2 linked regions of the Caenorhabditis elegans genome follow. Changing the gene in region 1 together with any one later gene gives a genetic interaction. Each region holds a gene or a part of one and is shown in the gene's direction. Other genes may lie near its edges.

Region 1 (7,565 bases):
TCACTTTCAAATCCGTTTTACTGAGAAAGTGTCCTTGAATCGACGTTCTTCCGTTCGAAATCTTCACGCTTATGCAAACATATGGAGACAGATGTTTTCTGAAGCGATAGGGAGAAAAACGTGGGAAACAGGTGCAACAGTTGCTTTTATTTGCCAATTTTTTTTTGGTTTTTCTGCAAAATTTTCGACTATTTCTCTGCCTTTAATTTCCATTGAAAATTCCTGTATTTTTCGTAAATTTTTTGCCAAATTATGTTTTAAATTTCTCAAATTTGTACCCGAATTCACAGGAATCATTTAGAACACGATTTGTCGATATTGAAACAAAAAACTCAAAGTTAGTTGATTTTCAACAACACGAATAAGCTGAAAATTTCCGATTTATCAACATAAATCATGTGAAAAATGCAATTTTTGACTTGAACCCTACTTTTAGAGGTGAAAATTGAGGAATTTTGCAGATTTTCGGCCAGAAATAGTGAAATATCAGTTTTTTTTGTTAAAACTGAAATTTAGCAGAATTTCAAAAAGAAAAAAAAAACAGGTTTTGCATTTCACAAAAAAATGTTAAATTCTCTAAAATTGATTTTTCCTCGCCGCTGCTCTTGATTCTTCCAATTTCCGGTTCATTTTCAATTCCCCTAAATCCGGCTTTCATTTTTTCTTTTCCTTCTTCTCATCCTCACGCCTCACTTGATATCCTCAAAGTCATAGATTCAAATGTTTCTTCGTCACATTTTTGTCTCCGATGACACGCCTGATGATTTAATAATGTGGTCAAATTGATTGATTACTAGTTGGTTGTTGTCTCTTTCTCTACGAGTCGTGTACACACTGATTCCCTTCAGCCTGAGCAGGTGCATATTATCCATTCGCCAATGCTTCTCCTTTTTTTCGAGCTAACTCGCAAGGTTTTGATTAAAATTTAAATAAAAAACTTTAATCCCAAATCCAGAAATTTTCACATAAAACATTTGTGTGGCCTTTCGAAGTAAACTTCCTGCTCAACGGCATCACATTTTCTTTGATTTATTCACTAGATTAACTTTCAGTATTGAAAGCTTCAATCGAATTCAAAATGTATTGATTCGCGGCGCGGAGGTTTCTAGGCCACCGGCTGTGTACTCCTCTCGGACGGGCGATGCCATTCTTCTTATCAGTTTAAATCTTTTTTTCATCGCAAAACTTACTGATAAACTTTGTGAGTTACGTATTTAATAGGAATAATTTTCTCTCCGCTATTTTCGGATTAAATTTCCCCGAAACATTTTGCAACTGGCCGTTCGTCCTGCTGTTTGAACAGCATTCAAGTGTTGACCCCCCACAGAGTATATACCCATATGAACTGATTTATTGGTTACCCCCGATCGTTTTGCATTTATTATCCATTCACCAATGTTTCAGAAATTCAAAATTTTCTACAAGTGGCTGACTATTCGAAAAAAAAAAATAGAATAAGGTGTCAAAAAGTCTGTCAATATTGAAAAAAGCTCAGTGTCCACTTGAGTATGTTTGACTTGGAAGGTGTGAATAGCAGTTGCTCGAAAGACAATAGGAAAGGGGTTTTGTACTTTTGCACAGCATTCTGAGTTATTTTCTAAAATGAAAAAAATTATTTTTTAAACTTTTCTGTAAATTATATTAAAATTGAGAAAAAAACTATTGCTTTGATTCAAAAAACTCATAAATTAAACAATTTTTAAAATATTTTCTAGTTGCTGCAAGAATTAGATACAATTCTCACAAATCCAAAAGTTCGTAATTCTTTTAACTTCTCTTGAAACTTCTTCATTTTTTTGTGAAATCTCCACACACATCCGATTACTTTCCTTTATTCCCCTCATCAATGGCGTTTTCTCAGGTTCTCACATCGAAATTTCTCATTTTAGCTTAGTTTCAGGTTCCTCAACGGACCTGCAACCACCCATCTGAAATGGATGTGGATTGCGCAGAAACATGTAGGTTCCCCCTTGAAATAATAATTATTAAAAAAATCAATAAAATTTCAGTCTCGCAACCATGCACTCCGCTGAATTTCAATCCGATGACTCCGTCAACATCGAGAGTTTCAACACCAGTTCGGCCGTCTTCTACAATGTCTGCCAGACAATATTCAGGTGAGAAAGATATGAAATTTTGGCTTTACTTCGAAAAAAAGATTAAAAGCGGCCAATTTATGCTTAAGATTTTTAATATTCGGAAAAGAATTATTGTAATCTGAGAATTACTTTCATTTAAGCTGGAATAATTGAAAAGTGCTCCGAAAATTGTCTGAAAGTTGAGAATTGCCCGACAAAATTTTCGACAAATCATCGAAAATTTTTTTCAATTTCTCAAACTGAAACAAAAGTTATCTTCAGATAAAGCAAATATTATTTTCTACTGAAAACATGCCACACTGGCTCAATTACCGCGTACCCCTGATCTAGAATGATTGAATAAAAACTCGTTTGCATAACAATTAATCCAAGAATTTCCTGGTCGATAACATATTCCAAAAGGCCATTTCGCGCCCTTTTCTCTCTCGACCCTCTCCAATCACATCACCTTATCACTTCCCCCATTCCATTTTCGTATGTCTCGTGTGTCTATGTGTTCCCCATTGGAAACTTCCCTCAAATTACATACCTCTTTTCACATATTCATATTTCATTTTTCAGGTTCGCCGTTCAAGGCTCAACCTCAGAACATGGAACCGTCCAATTCTCGGGTGCAAGAACTCCGGGAAGCTGCTGTGGGAAAGCGATCATACACAAATGCTTGGATGCAGGGTACCTATGCACCGCCGCAGATGGCAGGACAACAACAAAGGTTTTCGAGGCCTCCGAGTGTGGTAAGAGATTTTTATAAGAATTCCGCGGCTTGAACAGATAATAAAATCAAATTTCAGATCGGCTCCACAATGTCTCACATGACGAATATGTCAGAAATGACCGCCTACTCGTACGGTGGATTGTCAATGCTCTCAGTCAACACTGAAATGGGTGAATTCAACAATTTTGTCAATCAGGCACCATATCAGCGAGCACTGACACGTGTATCGCAGGTTTCCGAGAATCAGGATCCGACGAATCGACAGTATCCGATGACAGCTCCCGAGATTATTGAGAATCTGGAATCAACGGAACTAATCAATCAAGCAGCAGCGATTCGAGCTTTGGAGCCAATTGTGAAAGCTGGTGGAATGTTGCAAACCTGGGGACCTAAAGGAGCCGAACCGATTATTCGAGCTCTGTTTCAAGTTCTTATTCCTCGGCCAGTTGAGAATGAGAATGTAAGTTTTGCATAAATGTTCGTTGAAGGTTTTCATGGTAGGTAGGAACATCGTCATCCCTAAGTGGATGCCTACAGCCTAATATTGTTTAAAAATCTAAAATCTAAATCTAAAAAAATCTTTCAAAAAAAAAAAAAAATATATATAGATGTATTAAAATATCGTTTGACAACTCCATATTTTTTGTAGGTAATCCGGAAAGCGTTTGAAATTCTCCACCACTCAATTCTTCTCTCCAACAAGGAAATCCGACGTATCGACAGGATGTTCTTCCGACTGAATGCGGCATTAATGGATCCCAATGGGCCGCCTGTGTTCAATGTACCAAAGCCATACAGTATCTATGAGATCGTGATGACACGTGCCATTCAACTTGACACGAAATTCGAGTCCAGTGCTATGGTTCTGCTCGTACATCTTTGTTGTAAACCTCATTTCATGAAGATTTTCTTTGGAGAAGATGAGACTCAACAGTCACCAGCACATCGACGTCTTCACAAAATAGTAATTGAATTTGCAATTGGAAACCTGAGAAGACCGGAAACGAAGTCAAAGAATAAGGGACTTTGTGTATCGATTATTAAGAATTTGTCGAATAAAAATGCAACTATCAAAGATATGTCAGAACGTCTTGGTGTTGTGAGCCTCTTTCATCAAATTATGCAGAACGAAGTGATCCACGAGGATTTGTTGTGGTCAACGATGCAGGCTCTTACCGTATTCTGTGGAGATGTTAAGAATGGAACACATTTTGTGCAAATGGGTGGAGCACAAGTTTTGTGCGGTCTTCTTTCGCATGGATCAACACGACTTCTTCACGAACTTCTGAAGTGTTTGAGACGAGTATCAGATTTGCCAGCGATCCAGGAGCAGGATATGAAAGAATCGATTCATTGTATAGTTCAACTTATTGGATGTTCGGATGTAACGATTGTTGAGCTAGCGACTGGAACTCTACGAAATATTGGACTTCATAACAAGATGAACAAGGCATTTATGGTGCAGGATGGAGTTACAAGTCATGCGATCGCAGTTCTTCGGACATCTGAACAGTTTACATATCAGCCACGTTAGTTTTGAAATATTCAATCTGAAATTCTAATTTACTTATTTTTCAGATGCCAATATAGATTTATATAGAAAGCAGATTCTGTCGATTTATGAAAATTGTCTATCCGTATTGAACAATGTGACTTCTATGGCACCTCAAGATATCAAAGAATCTGCAGTATCAGCGTGTAGAATGATCAGTGAGAATGCCGACTCCGCATATGTGCTCCTTCATTACTTTAACGTTGGAAATCGGAAGTGCAGGAAACTTGCGGTGACAGTAATGAAACGTGTCATTGAGACGGTTCCTGCTTTTGCTGATCCGTTTGTTGATCTACTTGGAACAACAAATGAGCCACTACCAATTTTATTGCTTCAAAGAGCATTCCAGAGTTTGGACGAATGGCGGAAAACTGTAAGCTATAAATTAAATTCGTAGAAACAAATAAATTATAATTGATTTTCAGAGCGTTGAAATGATGAATTGTGACGGTAGAAGTGCTGAGCAGAGAAGAGAATTAGATGACAGACGAAAAGATCACGAAGATATTGTAAAACGATCTGTGGGACTTTTAACGAATCTTTGTAGTCAGGCAAATCCAAGATTTTTCCACAGTTTGAAGCTAGTATTGACGTAAGTTTTTTACACTGAAAATCACAATTGAAATAATTAATTTCATTTTATTCCAGAAATGGCACGCTAAACCCCTTCCAATGGCTGACACATGAGATGAGTGACGGTATTCTGCAAGAGTGGCTAGCATTCATTTTGTCAATTTGTAGTCGTGACGAGTCACTGCAAACTTTTATGATGTACAGATTCCTGGAACAGGCAAAAATGACTGAAGCATTCTTTGCGGAACTCAAGGCTCGTCGGCAGAATTCGAATATTCGTGAGTTTTTAACTTCTGAAGAAACTAACAAAAAATACGAATTTTTAAAATACACAAACGCGAAATTTTTCAATTTTGCGCCAAGAATTACGGTAACTTTTTGTTGAATGCAAATATGTGCTTTCATAAATAGTTTTTTTTGTAAAAAATATACGTTTCAATTGAAATATTTGGGGGTTTTGTGAATTATTATTTATGAAAACCTATGAACAATCTATGAAAATTCAGCAGAAACTAAAATTTCATAATGCAGGACTTTTAAAGGCGCACACCATTTTGCATTTAACAAAAGCTTGTCGTGTCGAGACCGGGTACTGTATTTTTGGCGCAAAATTTAGCTACTTCCAGAACATTAAAAGCCTCTTCATTTCTATCACTGCGATAAAAAAAATTACAACCGTGTTTAGAAATTTTATAAATTCTGAAATATGAAATTTTTTATTCCCATAATTCCCTTTTACAATTCACGATCTATTTCAGAAACTATGTTGTCAAAGATCATCGATCTTGGTAGACATCAGCAGAGAATAGTTTCACAACAACATCAACAGCATCAAATGCAGCATCATCGACAACTAATGTGAATGAATCTTTGTGCGGGTACAGAATTCCCTACTCCCGGTGCACAGACACACAATCTCAATCAAATCGATCTTCCAGTTTTATTCATGTGCTATTATATATTTATCTTCATTCCATCCCCATGTTCCCTTATGTAGTTTCACATCAAATACCCACTTCATTTCGTTGTTCTCATTATCAGTATTTGGAGCATATCACTCCCCAATCTAATTAGTTTTTTCCCATCTATCCGTATTATTTGTTGCTCACTTCATTTCTCCAACCATCTCTCAATTATCTCATGTTCTATTACAAGTGCGAACTCTTTTCGACAATTTGATAACGGGCCCTTTTTTTTCGTCTATCGTGTATATGAATTATTTATTAGACTTTAATCTAGAAGACACAAGAAGATTCATCTAGAAGACACAAGAAGACGGACAAAAATTATGATGTAAATCAGAGAAGAGATCAGATATGAGATGAAGGAAGCAATGCGCCAAGCACGATCACCACCAGTTTCAACTGTGTGCACACCATTCGAAAACGTGTAGCAGTGCGCAAAGATGGCGCCAGTCTGAAAAATTGTAAAATTTTGTTACTTTTTTAGAGGATCGCTGGATACCCAAAATAAGATCTGAAGCAGGAAGTGGGCAAAGACGGAAAATGTATTCGGGGCACAAATGATGAACAGGGATAAGCCGACAAGAAGAAACTGAAATATTGAAAAAAAATTGCCACGTGTCACATACATACAGGCGGTCTCACTTCAAAGACATACCACCACGGCTACGAATTTTTGACAAGCAAAATGTGCAGGGTCAGAATGGCACAATGAATGAGTGCCATCATGATGAACCACACATAAACTGGCATACAGAAGCATGGATCTTGCGCAGTGGCTCCTAGCTCAGATCCCGATTGAGCTCTGCCACGTGGTTCCTCTGGGCGTTGGGTCCTAGATATTGAAATTTTATTGGGATTTCAGAACTTGGTTAATTCGATTGAAAACCTAGAAGTCGATGGACTCACTCAATATCGCGATTACACTGGTTCTCAAGCATATTATTCAGACACTTTATTTGAGTTAAAACTTAAAAATACATTTCATTTGTATTATTTTTCGATTCACGTGTTTTCATTATTTAAATATTTTTTGCGGAAAAATATTTCAACTAAAACACTTTTTGAATAACGCGCGCTTTTCTTGCGGGTTTCGCAACGATTACAGTACCCCACTGAAAATTTTCAAGGCGCGATTATGATTTTCGGAAGTTAGTCTTGAAGCGACTTTACAAAACATCTTTGATCTAGACTTTGACCCACCGTTATTCTTAGCGGGAAAATATAAATTTTCGCCCAACCCTAACTTGATTTCTTTCATTCACGATGCGGTTTTGTTTTTTCTTCTACGCCTTTTTTCCATCTTTTCATCAAATTTAAAATTTTCAGGCTATGAGCCAGCAACCCGGATCCGCTCGACGTGTGAACTTCCCAGAGGAGCCAATGTAAGAAAATTAGATTTATTTCATATTTAAGTTTCTTCAATTTCAGGACGCTGGGAGAAAAGTTCAGCCATCGAATGGATCAGTTAAAGGAAATAATAGCCGATGGAGGTTGCTCACGTGCTGCAAAGGTTGGATGATGATCCGGATTAACTTTTTTAATTAATTATTTCAGTGCGTGTCAATCACCGTTTGCCTGGTTCTGCTGGTTCTCATTTTTGGTGGCGCGATCGTTTACCTCGTCATGTCACTGACTTCTTCTGCTCAGAAAATGTCAGCCGA
Region 2 (8,904 bases), on another chromosome or scaffold:
TTAATAGTCAGCAGCTTTGCGCCAAATAAAAATCACGCAACACCACACCACGCCGCGCGAAAATAAGTTGATGAAAACGCAACACTCTTTTGTAAGAAAATCCAGCAGATGCCGTACGGTCTGTCTCTCAATTCAATATTGTCTCTTTTATCCGCGCCATTTTCCAAATGCGGGACATTTTCATCGGCGGGCCCCCGGCGCCGCAAGTTTTTCTTATTTTCCTCCCTCTCTTCACCTATTTCACTCCATATCTTTCTCTCTCTCCTCGTGTTGCTACTGTTTTTTCACACCCTTCTTTCCTCCTCCATTCTACCATGCCAACGCAAATTTTCTTCTTTGATCAGGAATTCCTTGTACATTCATCTTCTATCTCTATCTCTCTGATTTCTCCATCAATCTCGCCAAATGTTTACATCTGGAAGTATTGTTGCGCACCTCACACTGAAATTTGATACTGTTCTTATCTGATTGAGCTTAGTTGAAACATATGCATAGCTTATTCAAAATTTTGTTAAAGGCGTCATTTGACATACTTCCAATTTTTCTGCAATATTACACTGTCTCCGGTTGTTGCGCAGCCCTTTCTTTTTTTTGCCCGACTTGCACTTATCTTATCATATTTTCACTGATGATGTCTATAGCGCCTTTAACTATTTCATACATATACAAAATCCCGGATATAGTCATTGCCATATTTTATTTTCCTTTTTTTCCTAAGTATTTGTGGAAAGTTTAATACGAAAACCAATAAAATACGTGTTTTGAACTTATAATATAGAAAAACCTATTTTAAATTTAGATTAAAAACTATTTAAACCTAACAGGCATACCTTTAATTTAACCAGACGATTCAATTTTTGATAATGACGTTATCATAATTATGCAAAAATGATTAGCTTTCTACAATATACATTGTTAAATATCTAAACTTTGTTGAAATACCAGCTCAAAATGAGAATATAACTTTTTTAATCTAAGAACTATCAATATTTTGACGAAATTTTATATTCTATTTTTTTTAAATAACGTTTCTAGTCTTAGCTGAGCATGTTGCTTTTTGTGCATTTTTCGAGAATAACTTTTTTATTGTTCAGTATTTTTTAGAAAATAATTTCCTGTCTTGACTCTCTGAAATATTTTCGATGAGCTATCTCAATTAATCTCAATTTGGCTTCATTGTTAGTACACACGTTTAGAACCTAATGTTTTTAAGCTTCAAATAACCTGTAAACTTTTTTTTTTAATTCGGTCATTTTTGAGCGAAAAAAGTTTCACCCAGCGCCCCGCCCTTTTTTTAATAAAAAAAATGTCCAAAAACCAATTCTGCACGGTGAGATATCATCAAGATTCAGTAGAAGTTTTTAGATGCGAAATTTCAGACGTAGAGAACAGGATGACAAATTTTTATACTGGTAACATCTAGTAACATTTGACTTCGATTTTGATAATTTGTCTTATTTGTACTATTCATTTTTAAGCGGTTTCCTTGTTGGGATAATTTCTATCATATCGAAGCAGATAGTTTTTAACCGGAAGTGCTTTTCTATACAAGCATATGTCGAGTTTGTTTTATTTTGTTTTAAAAATTTATTTTATTTGGCGCTTCTAAAAATCTTTTTCCCAGGCTAACTTATATGGTCCTATTTACGTTATCTCTCGATATCTCCTCTTAACCGGCTGATTGCGTAATAAAATGTAGATAGCGAGAAAAAGGGGTGGAGGCGACTTTTAGGGTAGGCGATGAATCAAAGCAGTCTAGGTAGGTAATATAAGTGAATTGACGAAGAAAAAAAATGAAGAACAATGCAAAGAAAATCAAATCTCCTTTTCCCACCCGGGGGGCAGCAAGTGAGACTATAAAAAATCGAGACCCACCGTCCCTGCGGTTTTCGCGCGCTGCGCAGAGAGAACAAGAGATATTCAAGTTGAAGTTACTGGGCAAAAAACGAACTGTAGCGGTGCCTGGCACGACCCCTGACGATACGCCACTGAATTGCCATACTCACACGTTTGCTTTCTCCGTTGTCGTCGTCGATCGTTTTTCTTTACCTCCCGTCAAGAAGAAGAAGACCCCCACGTCCTCTTCTTTTCTCTTCCTTTTTTTCATCATTTTTTCCCTCTCGATCATCCCCTTCTCTCCCATCGACGTTCACTATTTCAGGCCTCCGCGTCGACCTTCAACTACGACTCTCTTCTATACATAGGTAGCCGTTGGCGGATTTTAGTGGACGAAGAAGACGAGCGGGTGTGTCTTACGGTATGTAGGTCCCCTCGGGTAGAGCATGGTGGAGGGTGCGAGACAACCAAAGACATCCAACGATAGGCTCGCTGATGCCGCCAGTGGTGTGGTGGGAGGAGATCGACCGGCCCAAGAGATCCACACGGCAGCGAACCACTTACTCTCACTTTTCCGACTCCGCCTACTTTTTCTTCCGTACCGTGCCATCCTTGGACAGGTCCTTCATACCTTGTGCCATTCAGCTATCCCTTTCTCAAATTCATTTTTCTGTTTTCAATTTCATTCGAACATACAGTAATCCGAGATCTGTTCCAGAAATAAATGACTGACGTCGAGAGGATGGTTCTGCGACCGAATCATGAAGGCGAGATGTGCCCGGTTTGTGGTGATCGAGTCTCTGGATATCACTACGGCCTTCTGACGTGTGAAAGTTGCAAGGTTAGTCTTAGATGTCTTCACTTTTTTTCCGCGGGAAAAAAGTGGGTGTGTGGCAAAATGATAAGGTCATTTGTAGTTAGTGAGAGTCCCGACTCAGGGACACGTTCGAGCCCTTCAAGGACAGACAACTCTCACCGCCAAAATCATTCACTTGTTGCCATATGACCCTCATCGGGCGGTCATCTCTAGTTTTTCATTTGATTCTTTTTTTTCCATTTATTGTTTCATTCTCTCCATCAATAATTTTCTCTTTACAGGGCTTCTTCAAACGCACTGTTCAAAACAAGAAGGTGAGTACATACATATGTATAAAAATATAACACTGTAGCTGATGTTATCTAAGTATTGTTTTCGACTTTCTCCAATTTGTCCCTTCTTTCAGCAATATCAATGCTCTGCCGAAGCCAACTGCCACGTGGATCGTACTTGCCGGAAGAGGTGTCCAAGCTGTCGATTCCAGAAGTGCCTCACAATGGGAATGAAAATGGAAGGTAAGATATCTATCATATCTAAAAGAGCGCAACCGCTCTTCTGTAAGAGCACATACTGTGCTGACTTCTTGATTGATGGGATAATAAGGGATGTAACCGTTATCGAAAGTCCATCTCTATAAAAATTTTGAATTTGCACTTTAAGCAGCGTCATAAGCTTGTTCCACGTAATCATCGCGCAAGGCTTACACTTTTTGTGGATTTCTACTTCTCCTTTCTTTCATCTCTGTTACATGTTTCTCTCTCTCTCGTTTTTCTTTTCGTTTCGTTTTTGCATGACAACAAAAACGATATATTGAAAAGAGAGATGCAAAATTGGATATGAAACGGTGAGAGTGGAAGAGAAGAATAGATCTGACAGTCACCGAAAAACCGGTACCTGGAGACCTGGGGGTGGAGGCGCGCATCTCAAACGCTCTATGGCAGGCGCGCAACCATTTCAAATGTTGGAGAAAAGTGAGGCAACACCTTGGAAAACAACTGAAGTTCAGTGAAGTTTTATTAGGACATCCGGTGCATCATAAAAGAACTATTGGCATTCGGGGAAGTAGTAAAAGTGCAAAACAATAGTAGCCGGCTCGATAATTATAGGTGCTGAACAGTACCTTTGTTGGGAAAACATGAAGTGCCGAACTCATTCATTGCGGCGCGTTTTTCGTGAGGATCTCAATTGCAGGGTGTCGCATGTTTTGCGGCAAAAATGACTGCACTTGCCCACTCTACTCCAGATCAAATGAGCCGTGTGTACAGTCATCTGGCGGGTACAAACGGGGAACTGTAAATTGAAGGGGGAACATCGAAATGAGTGTGTGCACTTGGATAATGACTATGTTTTGTAGCGGTGCGTGCCGATAGGATGAGAGGTGGACGAAACAAGTTCGGATCGTTTTATAAGAAGGATCGGGCTCATCGTATGCAGAGAAACGCAATGAGAGTGAGCACAGTGCAAGTTCCAGCCGTCCTTGGAGCACAATCACAAGCACAAACATTCTATCAACCTCCAGAGCACCAGGTTTCAAGCAGGTGAGCTTTATTTCTTATATTTCTTTCAACTTATCAATCTCATATTTCAGCACAACTGACCAGAACAACCAAATCAACTATTTTGACCAAACTAAAATCAAAACTGAATATATCAAAACTGAGTATGATGCACATCTCCAGAGTCCAACATTGTCCAGTAGCACTAATCAGCAGCGTAAGAATATTTTCTGGAGTTGTTAATAGCATCAAATTATAAATTTCAGTTTCTGTTTCCGATTTTATCATGAGACCTGGATACTTAGTTGACCCACAAGACAGCTTGGCAGTACTTCTTGGGAGCACAATTGACGACCCACTTCTCAGGCATACCTTCCCAGCAGCTTATCAGTTGAATGAAGTCAAACAGGAGCCATTTGACTATTCGGAGCAGTTCATTCATCACTCATTGCACGACTATCCAACTTATACCAGCAACACTACCAATTATGCTACAATGATGCCAATGACAACTGTTTCCAGCACACAATCCTTGGTCACTTCGACTTCTTCTAGTAAGTTTTAGTTTTTTTATCGCTTTTTCTTGTCTTCAGTTTATAGTTTCAACATTTCAAATTTTTGATTAAGTTTTTTTTTAATTTTTGAAATGTTAACATTACTTAATTTCAGCAACAACTGGCCGAATGACAGAAGCTAGCAGCACATCACCAATTCTCCCACTTTGCCCAGCACCAACTGAAAAAACGGTGGACCACTTTTACAACAGCTCGATCGCCGAAATGTGCAAAACATTACCCGATGATGCTCAAATTGCTCGAATTTTCACAAGCGTAAAAGGAACTAGCAAACCTGAAAAGCACGCATTTTCCATTCAAGTCGCAGAGGAAAATTTGAAAGATATCGTGATTTGGGCAAAAAATGATCAACTATTCAGCAAATTATCGGTAAAATAATACATACAACAATATAATAATCTAGGCACTCTCATTTCCCACCAGCGGTTTTTTTCTAATATTTTTATTCTCTATTTCCCACCCTGATGAGATGGGAATAATGTAGATAAATTGCTCGCTTCCGGTGATCAAAAGAAACAATCGCCGCTATAAAAAGAGGCGCTCCTTCTCAAAAGGTACATCCCCATACAAACACACCTCTATTGTTTTCATTACGGACACCCATTATGTACTAGGAGTAATTGCACCGCAACCTTTTTATATCCTGAGTGTGATAAGTAATTGGTTGAAGATTTACTAAAGTGCATTTATTCCAGTTGGATGACCAAATGATTCTGTTGCAAACATCGTGGACAACCGTTCATATCGTTGATATCACTAATGCAATGGTCCACGGAAATCTTCTTTCGCAGTATAAAATGTCAAATGGTGATGAGTAAGTTGTTAAAATTTCTTTGAGTTCCATTCTTCCTAAGGCTCGGAAACAATTTTTGTGGAACGTTTGATTCTGGCTATTTAATGAGTCAATCAACTTCCAACGCAACACAACTACTATAAACAAACCGATCTGACAGCGGCGTCTATAAGATTAGGCTATAAAGATTTGGCGATAAATCTTGACTCATCTATCTCGATTACCCACCTTTTTTGCCTCTCGCAACATTGGGTGCCGACATGACGCAAGTCTTGATTCTCGGCACCAGATAAGATCTTCGTCCCGCGAGCTCATCGTATAAAGTATTGCGCATTTTCCCACTACCGGCATAGGCTCTAATAAGGATTAGGCTACCATTTTAGTTACGTAATTGTTGTGAAAACGAGCCGGTGGTCTTTCAAAAGTTCAAGACCTTTTAAGGCCCAATAAACCACTATAAAATCGTATTCTTTTTGCAGAGTTCCCGTCGGTCTTGTAGCTCTTCTTGGCAATCAAACATTCGTATCATCATGGAATGATGTTGTTATTCGGCTTCGAAATATGGGATTCACGAATTTCGATTATTGTGCTTTCCGATTCTTAGCCCTTTTTGACCAATCAATGGACTCTTTCCCAGCAGTCTCTACTGCTCGATCTCGAGTACTCCAATCTTGGCGTGAAGTGAGATGTACTACCGCCTTTCTGGAAATTTTCGAACAAATCAGGTAAACCTTTGGCCTTCGTAAAAACCCATCACAAATCAATCTTTCCCCTCGCCTCCACACAAATTAGCAACGTTGCCGTATAATTAGTGCTCATCTCTCCCTCCAAAAACTTGTTGTATACAGGAGACAAAGAATTGGGGAGAGAAGAGAAGCATCGGAAGAGTGGAGAAAAAAACTTATAATAGGAAGGCTCATTTATTCTGGTTGGATAGGTGCGCGAGGAGAAGGAAACAGATTAGAAAACGGGGCACAATATGTATACGGTATTGTTGCGCAGCAGGTGGCACTAAGAACGGGGAGAGAATCTTTACTAAATACATATGAATAGACAGAAAACAACTTGACTTATGAATATGCATTGGGAAATATGAATAAGTCGATTAATTACTTCTTACAATCTATTCTTTCTAATTTCAGACGACTCGCTTACGACTCACTACGGTACTTATGGAACCTTCATTCAAACTGCCCCACGAACTGGGAGCAATTCTTTCCGGAAGCCTCCTTGGTTCTTGAAATGATTCGCACTACTGTCAACCGATCGGCTAGCAGTAGCGTCACCGCAATCACTCAGGTCCCAGCAATCCAACTGCCAACCCCACAAGCCACATACACTGCTGTGCCGTACATGGCATCATAATGTCTCTGTCATAGGAGCTGAAAACTTCCAATGGAGTCAGTCAGCAACTCCCTTTGTTTAGCGATCTCGCTCAACTCTTCCATTTTTACGGGACCGGTTTTTTCTGTTGTCAATTACAGACAGCCAGTATTTTCTGCATAATTCCCTTATTTCACTTATTCAACTTTATAATATCAATATCATTTTATACCTCAAAAACCTCCATCCATGCATTTCAATTCATTTTCTTCAAGATCTATTGAATATCTTGCATTTTTCGTGCTGTGTCAGCTTTTAGTCGGTTGTACTTTATTTAAATCATTTGCATTTTTTCAATTCTCATTTTGTCTCAATATCTGTGTATCCTAGTGCCCAAACCCTCACAGCTTTTAAATGTATTTTGCTCTATTTTTTTTTCATTCAAAAATCTTTCCTCTCAAAACCCATTTTCCTAGGTCACGAGCCAATCAAAATTGGCACTTTATTATTATTATTGTTTCTCCCAACAAAAATCTGAAAATTCCGAAAAAACGTTCTCTGCCGAACTCTTCTCATCTTCCCAAAACTTTAAGACTGTTCTCTTCTGCAAAACGGATAATTGTTTTACATGCAATTAATATATTTGTATTTTGTCTGAATTCGCCCCCATTTTATTTCTTTATGGATTTTTATGTTTGGTTGTTTTATTATTCTTTTTTTCTTTGATTTTGATCAATCAACACACCTCACTTGTTTTGTATGTGCAGATCGTATATAAAAATTGAAATTTTAAATTATTTGAAATACTTTTACAAAAAATATTAAAATGAAGTATTGCGATTGTAGGATGAACTTTCAGGTTTTTGTGGATTTAAAAAAATAAGACTTGGTTTTTATTTGGTTCTGAAAACTTTCAGAAAACTAGACTTTAGTTTAAAATTTTTAAGACCAATCTTTTAAACTTAAATACTTTGTAGAGTGAGTACAGTTCACTCTGGATGTGAAAGTACTTTTCCCACTTATCTGTCTATTTTTGCCCTTTATTTTCCTCGCCTTGTCTACAAAGGGCGTTTTTCCTATATTTTGTGTCAGTTGCCATATAGGAGTATTACTTTCAGAACGAAAAAAAGTGAATGGTTACTTTTCGATTCTGCGTCTTCTTTGTAACTATTGAACCTTAAAAAATGACAATAAATATTCCACCTATAGGTAAAAAGAAGAGAAAAAAATCAAAGCCCCTTGTCTCCCTACGCTTTTTTCTTCCACCACCCACGGAGAGGCCCAACGATTTAACCGAACTGGTTTTATATGTCTTCTTCGTCTTTTCCATTTTTTTTTGGTCGATCAAAGAAAGAAAATGAGAGGTACCCCCACCCTCACACGCACCGACGATTCTGCAGTTTTTCAACTTGCGCAGACATCATTCTGAAAGAAGGAGATGAAGACACACTACACGCATAAAAAATCGAGAGAAGCAGTTAGATGAAGGAGGAAAGGAAGATGTCATGAAATTCGGCAAATCGATTACGATGGTTCTGGTATTGCATGAGAAAATCATACAATAAAGTTAGGTTAATGTTGGAACAGTGGAAGGGATCAAAAGCTTGAATTTGTAGATGCTTACAATAATTGTTTTTTTGTGTAGGTTTAAGAAAATTGTGCAGCAACATATGTTATAGCATTATCTGGTTATTTGATTTTAGCAATACAAGTTATTTCGGGACAGTTTCAAAAATAGAGCAGTGAAACACAGAAATTGATTGGTTTTTAATTTTGAAATCCTATACCGTATTCCCTTGATTAGTCTTGTAGGAAGACTATTTTCCGATCTGCCCGTAATGATGCAAAATCAAGAAAACGTGATTTTACGGCGTTGGAGCCATGAAAAAACGTAATTTTTCATCATTTTTTTTCCAATCGTTCAATTATTCCAAGTTTATTTTACCCCAATGCTGACAAATTTACTGAGTTTTCCCACAAAGTACGACTAGTTGGTAAAATATGAATGCAGGACTATTAGGGTCTGCAAAAGAAATTTTTGATTATCTTGTTGGGGTGCAATAC

The links.
Region 2: of wrm-1 (region 1) and nhr-25, changing one suppresses a phenotype caused by changing the other (phenotypic suppression), as found in Caenorhabditis elegans (one study listed by BioGRID).

The regions. Positions count from the first base shown.
Region 1 is NC_003281.10:5,720,950-5,728,514, forward strand, and holds wrm-1 (Armadillo repeat-containing protein wrm-1), read left to right. Parts: upstream 1-1,900; 5' UTR 1,901-1,933; coding exon 1,934-1,958; intron 1,959-2,009; coding exon 2,010-2,117; intron 2,118-2,660; coding exon 2,661-2,833; intron 2,834-2,890; coding exon 2,891-3,274; intron 3,275-3,463; coding exon 3,464-4,343; intron 4,344-4,392; coding exon 4,393-4,739; intron 4,740-4,791; coding exon 4,792-4,958; intron 4,959-5,014; coding exon 5,015-5,217; intron 5,218-5,697; coding exon 5,698-5,801; 3' UTR 5,802-6,166; downstream 6,167-7,565. Other genes in the region: LDL receptor repeat-containing protein egg-1, read left to right, coding at 7,234-7,286, 7,333-7,414, 7,459-7,565. UniProt on the Caenorhabditis elegans protein: Antagonistic role in the Wnt signaling pathway that operates in embryogenesis. When located at the cortex it has been shown to inhibit Wnt signaling during asymmetric cell division but when relocated to the nucleus it shows positive regulation.
Region 2 is NC_003284.9:13,006,332-13,015,235, forward strand, and holds nhr-25 (Nuclear hormone receptor family member nhr-25), read left to right. Parts: upstream 1-2,161; 5' UTR 2,162-2,257; intron 2,258-2,554; 5' UTR 2,555-2,560; coding exon 2,561-2,677; intron 2,678-2,686; exon of another isoform or gene 2,687-2,889; intron 2,890-2,934; coding exon 2,935-2,967; intron 2,968-3,059; coding exon 3,060-3,168; intron 3,169-3,440; exon of another isoform or gene 3,441-3,582; intron 3,583-3,775; exon of another isoform or gene 3,776-3,958; intron 3,959-4,007; coding exon 4,008-4,191; intron 4,192-4,241; coding exon 4,242-4,366; intron 4,367-4,415; coding exon 4,416-4,703; intron 4,704-4,818; coding exon 4,819-5,093; intron 5,094-5,419; coding exon 5,420-5,538; intron 5,539-5,996; coding exon 5,997-6,242; intron 6,243-6,659; coding exon 6,660-6,882; 3' UTR 6,883-7,631; downstream 7,632-8,904. UniProt on the Caenorhabditis elegans protein: Orphan nuclear receptor and probable transcription activator, required during development. Plays a role in male tail tip morphogenesis regulating the expression of the transcription factor dmd-3 in a negative feedback loop.